Linked DNA regions of Caenorhabditis elegans. The protein of the gene in region 1 interacts with the protein of each later gene in a pairwise test. Each region holds a gene or a part of one and is shown on either strand. Other genes may lie near its edges.

What was found.
Region 2: the proteins of ifd-2 (region 1) and bmk-1 interact in a two-hybrid assay, tested with the Caenorhabditis elegans proteins (one large-scale study listed by BioGRID).

What each region holds. Positions count from the first base shown.
Region 1 is NC_003284.9:813,051-817,721, reverse strand, and holds ifd-2 (Intermediate filament protein ifd-2), read left to right. Parts: upstream 1-1,792; 5' UTR 1,793-1,804; coding exon 1,805-2,020; intron 2,021-2,242; coding exon 2,243-2,356; intron 2,357-2,399; coding exon 2,400-2,497; intron 2,498-2,547; coding exon 2,548-2,632; intron 2,633-2,772; coding exon 2,773-3,249; intron 3,250-3,297; coding exon 3,298-3,462; intron 3,463-3,522; coding exon 3,523-3,699; 3' UTR 3,700-3,868; downstream 3,869-4,671. Other genes in the region: F25E2.3 (Acyl-CoA thioesterase II), read left to right, coding at 4,622-4,648. UniProt on the Caenorhabditis elegans protein: Cytoplasmic intermediate filaments provide mechanical strength to cells. Not essential protein.
Region 2 is NC_003283.11:14,452,507-14,458,553, forward strand, and holds bmk-1 (Kinesin-like protein), read right to left. Parts: upstream 4,479-6,047; 5' UTR 4,374-4,478; coding exon 4,371-4,373; intron 4,222-4,370; coding exon 4,148-4,221; intron 4,099-4,147; coding exon 3,892-4,098; intron 3,842-3,891; coding exon 2,533-3,841; intron 2,488-2,532; coding exon 1,928-2,487; intron 1,840-1,927; coding exon 1,620-1,839; intron 1,508-1,619; coding exon 1,349-1,507; intron 1,301-1,348; coding exon 1,201-1,300; intron 1,156-1,200; coding exon 896-1,155; 3' UTR 796-895; downstream 1-795. Other genes in the region: F23B12.7 (uncharacterized protein), read left to right, coding at 1-363; coh-3 (Rad21/Rec8-like protein C-terminal eukaryotic domain-containing protein), read left to right, coding at 4,969-5,030, 5,077-5,279, 5,324-5,490, 5,540-5,700, 5,748-5,884, 5,932-6,047.

The DNA.
Region 1 (4,671 bases):
GTTCAAAAACGTAGTAAGCGTTTATTGAGTGAATAATACAGATATTACACAAAACTTATGACAACTTGCTTACAATTTGTGGAAAACAGTAAACTTCATCGGAGCAGACGCGCGAGACAACTTTTTGACAATGGTTTTTGTGATGTTGCTACCAGATAGCGCCGGTTCCGAATAGAAACGTTTATCTAAATTTTAATTAATTTGATCTTAAATTTAAGTTTACGAGCTTACCGTTGTTAAGAACTCCCAAAGCTTGATTCATCGCTTTCATTTGATGACTGAAGCCACAATCAAACGAGAAAGAGCTCATCTTTTTTGTAGAAGAATTAAGTGGCGGAAAATGATCAATTGGCACTTGGAAAATCATTTTTCTTGAAAATGTTGAAGAATAAAAGAATATAAAATTCTGCAGATTAATATTCTTCTATTCTTAGCCCATCTTTAATACTGGAATTTGGAACGAGTTTTGAAAAAATTTGACGGAACAGTGATGTAACTTGCCATAAGGACATAAGAAACGTCGTTAAACCATTCAAATAAATTGGATACGGTAATGGTCAATGCGAATCTGGGCGATTTTTGGAAACTCGATCAAAGATGATGAATTCAGGTTTTTGGGGCGTATAACATCAGCGTCAATTTCAGCAAAAATAAAATTATAAGGATTTGCGAAAATCATGAGTTTTGAATTTCAGATCATGTATAATGTCTGAGTAAAAACTTTTCACTTTGGCAGGAATGTTTCCAGGCAGCATAGTAATCAAGTTTACCATGCCACTCCTAAAACTCAAGCATATGCCGAATGTGAGCGGCCATTTCTTAACTCTGTTTATGTCGGCTGCATATGTGTTACTGAAGTATGTTATGGTTATGTATTCGAAGGCCGAACAAGGAGAGAAGACGAGTAGTTTATTACATTACTAAATTAAGGAATGATTAAGTTAGTTCATAGAGTTCACGTTGCACGATCTTCTTAGCCACGTCGTGGGTCAATACACGTTGATACCCAACAGTTATGACGTCATCAAAAAGGTCTCTGCGAGCACTTCACTTGGCAACTCATCAATCCTACATTACTTCAGTCAACTTATTGGCAAATTAATCAAAATCAAAAAAGGACGTGAGAATGAAAAGAAGATCTCCGAGAATCGCGGGAATTTAGACACAGACTTCTCAACTGATTTTGCATGGTTAAGAACGTGCTGACGTTACTTTTTCTGTGAAAAAAATTAGCGCATTGTTTGTAGATCAAACCGTAATGGGACAGTCTGACACCAAGTGCCCCACCTTGATCTCCCGAACTATAGCCGGCCCAATTGGCCATTTCATTTATTTGTTTAAATCATAATTTTCACGTTTCTTCCTCTTTCCGGTGTAACTCTTATCTTGACAAATAAGCATTAATATTATTTATCAAAAACACAAAACTAATACAAATTTCTTCCGTTTCTTCCTTAGTCATCAAGCTATTTTCTAACCCCCACGCCATGTCATTATGGAAAATGTCAATTTCCATAAGAATTTGAGCAGTTTTATGATTCACCTATTTTGTACGTTACAAGGCACATTCCAAATGAGCTAGCCTGCGTGATAAGTGATAAGGAGGCGGTTGATAACGCCCCGTTTTACCATTTTAAGTGTTTCAGACCGTTAATGTCGCTATACAACTATTATTTATTTAGATAATAGTGATTGGAACGGCTCAGTTTTTCTCATTTTTTAGTTTCAGTGTTTTATATTCAAATTAAAAATATTCAAGTTTTGTTTTTTTTTATTCAAAACTAATTTCTAGAATAAAAACGCCATGACTGACCCTCTCAACCCAACGCGTCTGCAAAATCATCCCGCTCTTGCAAGAATTATTGAAAGCGGGCGGACAAATTTGCCAACCGGAATAACTACCAGTGGAGCACTTTCTGCATATGCTCAAAATGCGGCTGCTATCATCAGAGACAATCGTGAAAGGGAGAAGGTTGAAATTGCAGATTTGAATAACCGATTGGCACGATATGTAGAGAAGGTTAGTTGAATTTTACTAGATTTTGAAACTGTGTAAGTGATAGGTTTATAATCATTGTTGTCCAAATAATTTTGGTATGGAGTGCGCCAAGTTTTTTAAATTTATTTTTATAATTAAATAAATTAATCCGGAAAACCTGAATAAAGTATCAAGTGCACACTGAGCCTTTACCAAAATATTAAATATTGTATAATATTCTGTTTGAACAAAACTATTTTTCAGGTGCGCTTCCTTGAAGCACAAAATCGAGTTCTTGAAAACGACATTGGTGTTTTCCGTAATGCAGCACACACACATTCGGAACGAATTGCTGTCTATTTTGAATCCGAAAAAGCCGTAAGTAATCATTTTTCTATTAAGCTTTAACTTTAAATTGCAGTCGCTTTTCACTTTGGTCCGTGAAAACAAAGCTAAGATCTCGACGGCTGAGCAAAATATCAGAAAACTGGAGCCAGATGTGATTTCTGCAAAGAAAAAGTTAGTTTTTTGTAAATTTACTATACAACTAGTTGTACATATAATTTCAGTTTGGAAAGCTCTTTCCAGCTGAGAGTTCAAACAAGAGAAGACAAAAGAAGTCAAATGAAAATTTTGTCAAACCTGGAGGCAGAGGTTAGTAGACACAATTTGTGTAAAATTAATACAAAAAATTATTTTTTTGACCTAGCAATAGTTCTGGTGCAACAGTAAAATTTCCATTTTTCAAATTGTTTTTTTGAGTTCTCCGATTTCTCAAATCCAACAATTTACAGAATTCTTACATCAAACGTCTCACAACTGACTGTGAAGAAGAAAAAAGCCGTGTCCACTCTGAAATTTCGCGTCTCCGAAGTGATATCAAACGAGTGCATGCACTGCGAGACAAAGAACGCAGCAAGCACTCAAGTTCGTCTCAAGAGTTATTGAAGCGTCTTAACGGGTGCATTTCACAACACGACATTGCCATTCGAGAGGAAATTAGCAAGGCTAGACGTGACACAACAAACAAGAACAGGGACTATTTCCACAATGAGCTGCACGCGGCGATGAAAGAGATTCGAGACCGATTCGAGAAGGATTCACGTGCCGCCAGAAAGACATGGGAGGATTGGTATCACAAAAAGATCACGGAAATCAAGAAGGGATCCGAAAGCTATAGCTCAATACAAAACCAGGCAAGAGAAGAGATTCTTCGAATTAGGTCGATTGTCAACGAGTTCCGAGGAAAGCTTTCAGATTCTGAAACTATCGTGAGTTTGGGAGTTTGGGATCATTTGTTGAAACGTTATTGAATTCAGAATCAACAACTTATCAAACGAATCGACGACTTGCACTTCCAAGACAAGGAAAATCTAAGATTGTTCGAAATTGCACTCAATGAAAAAGAAAATCTAGTAATTAAAATGAGAGAGGAATGCACAAAACTTTCAGTGGAACTTGACAAATTAGTAGAGAACCAGATCGTATGTTCAAAATTTAAAGTTTTAAATTCACAAATTTGTAAATTCCTTAATAATTTCCAGAACTTGCGAAACGAAATCAACCATTACCGCAAACTAATGGAAAACGCTGAGCACCTCCGTACCACAGTTCAAACCCACGTGACCTATAATGCTCCACCGCCACCCTTGCCACAGTCAGGCCCTAGAACAACTTCCTACCACGCCTATGGTTCGGCATACAACGATTCCTTATTGTAACAACTTCGATTGTCATGTTTTTGTTAATTTTGAGTATTGTAATTTCACAATTTCAAACCACCCATGTTCAAATGTACGGCTTGAACTTGCAAAAGTTTGAAGAATTTATTTTTCTCAATTTTCATGTTATTTATATGTTTTATGAATTAACGAATAAAATGTTTTATTTTACTTTCTATGTAACCATTAATCGGATGAAGGTGGGGTGTTCAGTTTACCAATGTAGATCAAAAATAATTCAAAAAAATTTTTTTTGGTACTCTTTCCCTTTTTGTTTCTGAAACCTGATTATGAAGAAGATGTAGGCTTGATGATGGTTGAAAAAAGTGACGTCACTGGGGCAGGGTTTTCTACACTTTTTTCGAAACGCAAAAGCCTTTTTAGTTGTTCTTTATATAGCAGCTCTGGTGTTTTTTTTTTCTAGCAGGCGTATGTGATTTGAAGTTCCTCTTTGATCACTTTGAAATGTAATAATGTACTGATAAACTGTACACGTGAGGTCTTATGTATTTTGTTTGTTTGGCCACACTATACTAGGCAACAAAATTCCAGTTTCCGCTTTTTCTGACTATAAATCATTGGTTGGCAACTCAATATGCATTTTCTGCATTTCTGAAATTATTATAAATGCAATTTCTCAAAAAAAAAAACGGTTTTTTTATATTTTTAAATTTTGAAGTTTTGAACAGTATGAATTCTGAATTTAGTAGCAAATGCATTTTAAACTGTTCAAATTATTAGATATCACTTCCTGTTCTAGTTTTTTTTCAAAGTCTCATTTAGCCTACACTGTTGCGTCGTTATTGTTTTGTTCGTCATCTCCACTCAATGATTTTCTCCCCAAACTTCTGCGTCTCTCAAAACATGTTTTCGCGTACACAGTTGAAAATTTGAACTATTATTTTCAATTTTCAGATTGATCATGGCAAAACCGAAAGCACCAACCGAGGTATGTTAGGGTTTGTTTCAATT
Region 2 (6,047 bases), on another chromosome or scaffold:
TTGAATGAGGAAGAAGATGGTGGAATGGAAGATGATGATGAGGATGATGGTGATATGGATGATGATGATGAAGATGACGAAGACGCTGAAGATGATGATGAAGTAGATGATGATGATGAGGATGATGATGAAGATGGCGGCTTTGGAGGAAAGAGTTCTGCGAATATCTTTGGAGATGCTGACGAGTCTAGTGATGAAGAAATCGGAGCTAATGATTACGAAATGGCCGGAGATAAATTCGCAGAAATGTTGGAAGATTTGGAAGAGGACGATGGCAAACGTGGAAAGAAGAAAGGTGGAAAGAAGAGAGGATCGACTGGAGGTTTCAAGAGAGGTGGAGCCAAAAAGTTCAGAAAGCGTTAAAGCTTTTGGATTCATTAATTGTTATTTGTTTTTCTCTGTTGTTTTTTTTTGAATTTTGTTTTCGTATATTTTATCATGTTGACGGAATAAATGTTATCCTTGAAATTACTTCTATTTACTGAGACTTCGCTGAGACTATTTCAGCCGAAACTACAGTAACCTGATAGATTTTCGTAGTGAGCCAGTTTTTTTGAAATTAGAGCGCGCTAAAAAACGCAAAAAACCTAGAATTCAGTAAAATTTGTAACTTCATTTCATGTTTCCAAGATCCCTGTGATAATTTGATCTATAGCTCATTTTTATTCCAGAGGGTTACTGTAGCTCTGAAAAATGAACTAATAGTTTTGTGCTGAATCTTAAATGAGTGTGATAATGAAATATCACCGAAACCTGTTGAAAATTGCTTTCCATGATTTGTTTAAAACGCCGGTCATTAAAATACAAAGAAATTTATTGAATTTCACGAGAAAAATTAGCGGAATACATTAAAGAAATGAGAAAATATTTGACATGGAACGAGTTGGTGTGTGCGTTAGTTTTCGAAATCTTCTTCTTCTTCGATTGCTTGTTCTCTTCTCTTTATAATCGACGAAGGACTGAGGAAATTGTTCGTAGTTTCGAGAAGACTGTCTCGGCGGACGAAGGATGTGACACGACGCTTCTTTGTGGCAAGTTCATCGGTGTCAAAGTCGTCATTTCCTTCTCCAAATCCAAGAAGAACTTCGGGTTCGACTGGCTGATTCAACTCCGAGACGAGTGGGAACGATGGAAGAATTCTTTGTGGGACATTCACTGAAAAAATAATTTTCTTGATGGTTATTTTTTATGATAACCAACCTGATGGGTCCACGTGAACCAGAACAACAGAATTGACAACGGCGGCCGACTCCTTTGTCACGACAATAGTCGATTTCGTGAATTCATCGAGGAGCGAACTCTGAAAGATAAATCACATTATTGAGACACATTTCACGGAAAAACTAACCAATTCGTCTGTTGCTTTCTTGGTGCAATCCGAAACCAGCTCGCCAGTTACTTTGCACTTTTCACTGGTTGCCGAGAACCTGCTTTTCAAGGTGTTCGAAAACTCCCTTGCCTCTCCACGCGTAGCTTCAGCCTCATCCGAAAATGACTTGAGAGCGACCTGAAAACAATGTATTATCTTGCGCGATTGAACAATATTTGGGTTTATGAAAATAGAACAACTTCGAGAAATCGATTTGTATAAATGGATAAAATAAAAATTTGCTGCGAACCTTGACTTCATTTTCCTTTTCCTCCGCTCGTTCCTTTTCAACTTGAATGTGGTTCTCCTGTTTTGCATCAGTCTGCTTCAGAGTCTTTTTCGTGTCGTCCATTTCTTGTTTCACATCGCAAGTCTCCACAATGTTGTCTTCGAGTGATTGAACTACGGTTTCTGCTGTGTTTAGAGTATCCAGAATTGTTTCTTGGTTGTTCTGATCCGCAATTACTTGCCTGAAAAATAAATTATCAAAACATGATCTCACAACAACTATAATGGTCTGAAAACAATTATCAGAAAAAGTCCGCTTGCAAAACTTACTTTTCATGATTCTCCGCAACTTTCGTCGACAGCTGCTCAACTTGCAACATCAATGCCTTCATGGAATCAGCCATCGAAGAACAGGCAGCTCTCACATGCTCCACATTCTTCTTACTTTCATTCGTTCGTGCTTCGTAGCTATCACATGTGGTTTGATGGAGAGTAGATACCAATGGTTTCATATCTTCTGTGAAGTCGGATACTTGTTTCTTCACCTCATCCAATTTGTCAACTACCATCTGAGTGAATTCTTGAGATTTGGCCGAGTATGACTTGTAAAAATCATCACACGTCTTCATGACTGTTTCCAATCTGATTCGATTTTCCATCGATATGGCAGTCATGTTGTCGATGACTTTCTTCTCCGCTTCCGACGATTTCTTCATTATGCATATGGCATGTGTCTCCATATCCATTGCCGTACTCTCAATGTCTCGATGAGCAGATTCCATTGATTTGACATGAGGGCAAATATTTTCCGACAACTTCTTTGATAACAGATCACCATCAGCTTTCAGCGAGTTCGTCAGCTTTGAGGTCGTGTCGATGAAATCACTCATCTGAAAAAAAACATCTAACTAAGAATGAGATAATCCTAATATTACCTTTTTCGAGAAGTGGTCAATGACGATTTTATTCCTGTCGTCAGCTCTTTCCATCTCATCAACTTTTCGCCAAAATGCACGAAGATCAGTCTGCATTTCATCAGCTGCTCCTTGAGATGTTGTAAGTTGATCGAATGCCTTCAGTGCTGATGTGTGCATCAAACCGATAACTTCGATATGCTTGTTGAGCACATCGTTAGTATCTGCGAGTTCTTTCTCTTTGACAGCCATTTCGCGAATTCGATCTCTCAGACGATCCTCGAGTTCTCCTTTTCTCTCGTACAACTGTCTATACTGCTCATCCATGTGCATCTGATCTTCAGTGAAAATTCGCAAACGATCCACAGCATTATCCAAATGTTGTTCGAGCTCCTGAACTTTTTCCGAATTCTTTTGGAACTCATCATGCGATTCTTGGCTGATAATAACACCATTTTTTTCTCTTGCAGCTCTCAAGTCTCTTCGCAGCTTCTCAATTTCGTCCGAATACTCTTTGAGGATAGTCTTCTTTGATAATTTTGTGTTGCAGACTGGCTTATTCTTGATATTGGCCGCTCTCATAGCATATTCCAAAGTACTCTGACTTTCCTCGAAATTGGAGCTTGAAGGAGATAGCGTAGCAATCAAAGAAGTGATTGTAGATCCACCGAGGCTGTCCTGTAGAAGACGAGTTAACTTCGACTCTCTGTATGGAATATGCTGGCCATTGGTTGTCAGTAAACGAATTACTCTTCCCAGCGTCAGAAGCGATTGGTTAATGGAACCAGCCTCTTTAGCACGATTTCCTTGTGCTCCTGATCGTCCGATATTTTCAGAACCAGCCAAGTCAACGAGATTAAGCTTTCCTTGCTTCACCAGTTCCTCGCCAGTGGTTGTATTCTCCCGAATGACGACATTGACCATGAAGAGACTGTGAGATCTGCTACTGTGCATGTTCATCAAAGTGGCCGCCGTTCGTCTTTTCTCAGCACCCAACTGTAGAAGTTTGAAGACATCTGAACGATTTCGCACAGGCACTTCTTCCACGCCCGAAACGATTACTCCCTTCTTGTTTGGATCATCAAAAATGCGAAGGCGTTCACGATCTTCATTATCCGTCGAAGCCAAGAGATCGAACAGTTCTTCATTGTAGAGTTCGATGTAACTGACTCGAAGCGAATACTCCTCACAGCCGCATCTTTCCAACTGCTCGAAAATATCCTCAACGGCACGAGGTATGATTCCAGTCGTAGGGTCATCAGTTGAGCTTTTTGCGTCTGTTCTCCCTCCTTCCATTGTGAACGTTTTTCCGGTTCCAGTTTGTCCATAGCTGAAAATTACTATTATATTGAATATTATTGAACCGTCCTGTCTACTAACGCAAAAACTGTGCAATTAAATCCTGCGATAACCTTCTTAATTTGTGATGACACGAGGTCCGAGTAGATTTCTTCCTGAGTCGTGTCTGGGTCATAGGTCCGGAAAAATGGGCCAAATGACTTTCCCTTCAACTCGATAGCTTGTTTTCCTTTGTCCACTTTCACAACGTTGGTGCACTTTTCACTGCGCTCGGTGCCATTCATTGGCCTATAAAAGGGGCATATTTAACTGAAGTAAAAATAAGTTTAAAACTCACCGAATACGAACAGCGACTCGCAAATTGGACGTGGGCTCGGAGTGCTTCTTGCGGGATGCCATTGTCGAATCCAACTAAAAATAACTAATAAAAATTGTAACTAATAAAAGTGCAACAGGAAAATCAATTTGAAATACAATGATTCGCGGCGTCGTGCGATAGAGCGCACCCGCAATAAATGCATTTACCTCATGGGAAAGAAAGTAACCTGCAAAAATCTTACCATTTTAAACAACAACCCAAGTGAATCGAATGACTGAAAACGAAAAATTAGCAGGGTATTCGGCAGTAGCACAAGATTGAGACAAGAAGAGCAACAAACCGAATCAATAGAGAAATAAAAATGAATTTATATTTTTAGAAACGTGATAACTACATAAGTAGTGGTTAATTACTGTGATATATTTGGAGCGAGGAACAACGGAAAGGACACGCGAAAGCAAAGCATAATCGCAAAATTAAATTTTAAAACTTCTAAAGTTTTTAAAAAAATTTGTTCCTCATAATGCTTAAAAATCTCATCGAAAGCAAAACTATAAACATTCTAGAAATTAAAAAAAAATGGCGATTCAAAACTTCGCGGCTGAACATTGCTGGGTCCTGTCACGAAACAGCTAGATTTGATGTGTGCGCCTTTAAAGAAGTAGTACGGTATGCAATGGTCTCGCAGCGATCGAGCAAGCTTACGCGGAGTTTTCAAATTTATTTTTGGGGTTTTTCACTTTTTTATCATTTTTTCGTTTCTTTCGAGTATCTGCATTAAACATCTTTGCAGTTAAAAATTGCAGAAAGTCAAACGGGTAAGAAAGGTAACAATCAGCATGGTGATAAGCATCGATGTACCGCTCAAAGCGTCGGAGGAAGCGACTGTGAAGTTCCTATTGTAATAAAAAGTATTTTATGCCGGATTAATAAATTTTTTCTTGCAGAGGAATAGTTTTTGGTTCTCACAAGAAACTCGGCTTGCAATCAAATCGTCGTGAGTGCTTCAGACACGATGTTCTTCAAGCAAGCAAGCTCATTCAGTGGATTCTCAGTAACGAGAGGAAAAACAGAAGATCTCTCTCCATTGCGTGTAATTTGGTGTACGGAAACACCATAGTTCTCAGTACTCAAGTTGCTCGACTTCTTCGTACGTTGCCAGTATTTAAATTATCACTTTAACAAATATTACAGAAGATGCAATTCGTGCTCGAGAGATCGTCGCATTCACTTCGTACCTCGCGGAAGAAGATGAGAGGAAACGAAAAACTCGTGAACAGATGGAAGGTGACAACTCTAAAACACCAAAGAAGAAGAGAAGAACGATGGTTGAGGAATTTCCTCTCACTCCTACCCCGATCGTAAGTCTAAATGTTTCAAAAATCAAAATTAAAATAAAATCTATTACAGAGTGTGGCTCTAAAACAAAACATTACAATGCCAGATGTTCTCAGTCTTCACAAGAACGACCAAATTAACGTTGAAGACGATTTGGCTGCACCAACAATGGAACAACTTGAAATGATGTACGGGATGTTGGAATCAGAAAATCGGAACACAGCGATTGATTTGTAAGTTCTCTCCTTATATTGTTTGCAATATATATAGAATATTTCAGAACATTCATCGATCGATATTCCTCCAACGATTGCCGTCAAAATGTTCATAATCTGAATTTGGAGACTGATTTTCAACGCCCATCTGATGACTTTATCCGGAGCCAGCTCATGACACCTACCAAATCTATTCCACAAGGTTGATGATTAAAAATGAATTGTAGAAATATTGTTTTTTATTTATAGAAGAGGAATTTCAACCAGCCACACACCTGAAGGAAATGCTTCTTTTCCGCCAACTCCCCATCACACTAGACGAAACTGAGAGAAGAAGAAGCATGGAAGAAGAAATGGAGGAAGCG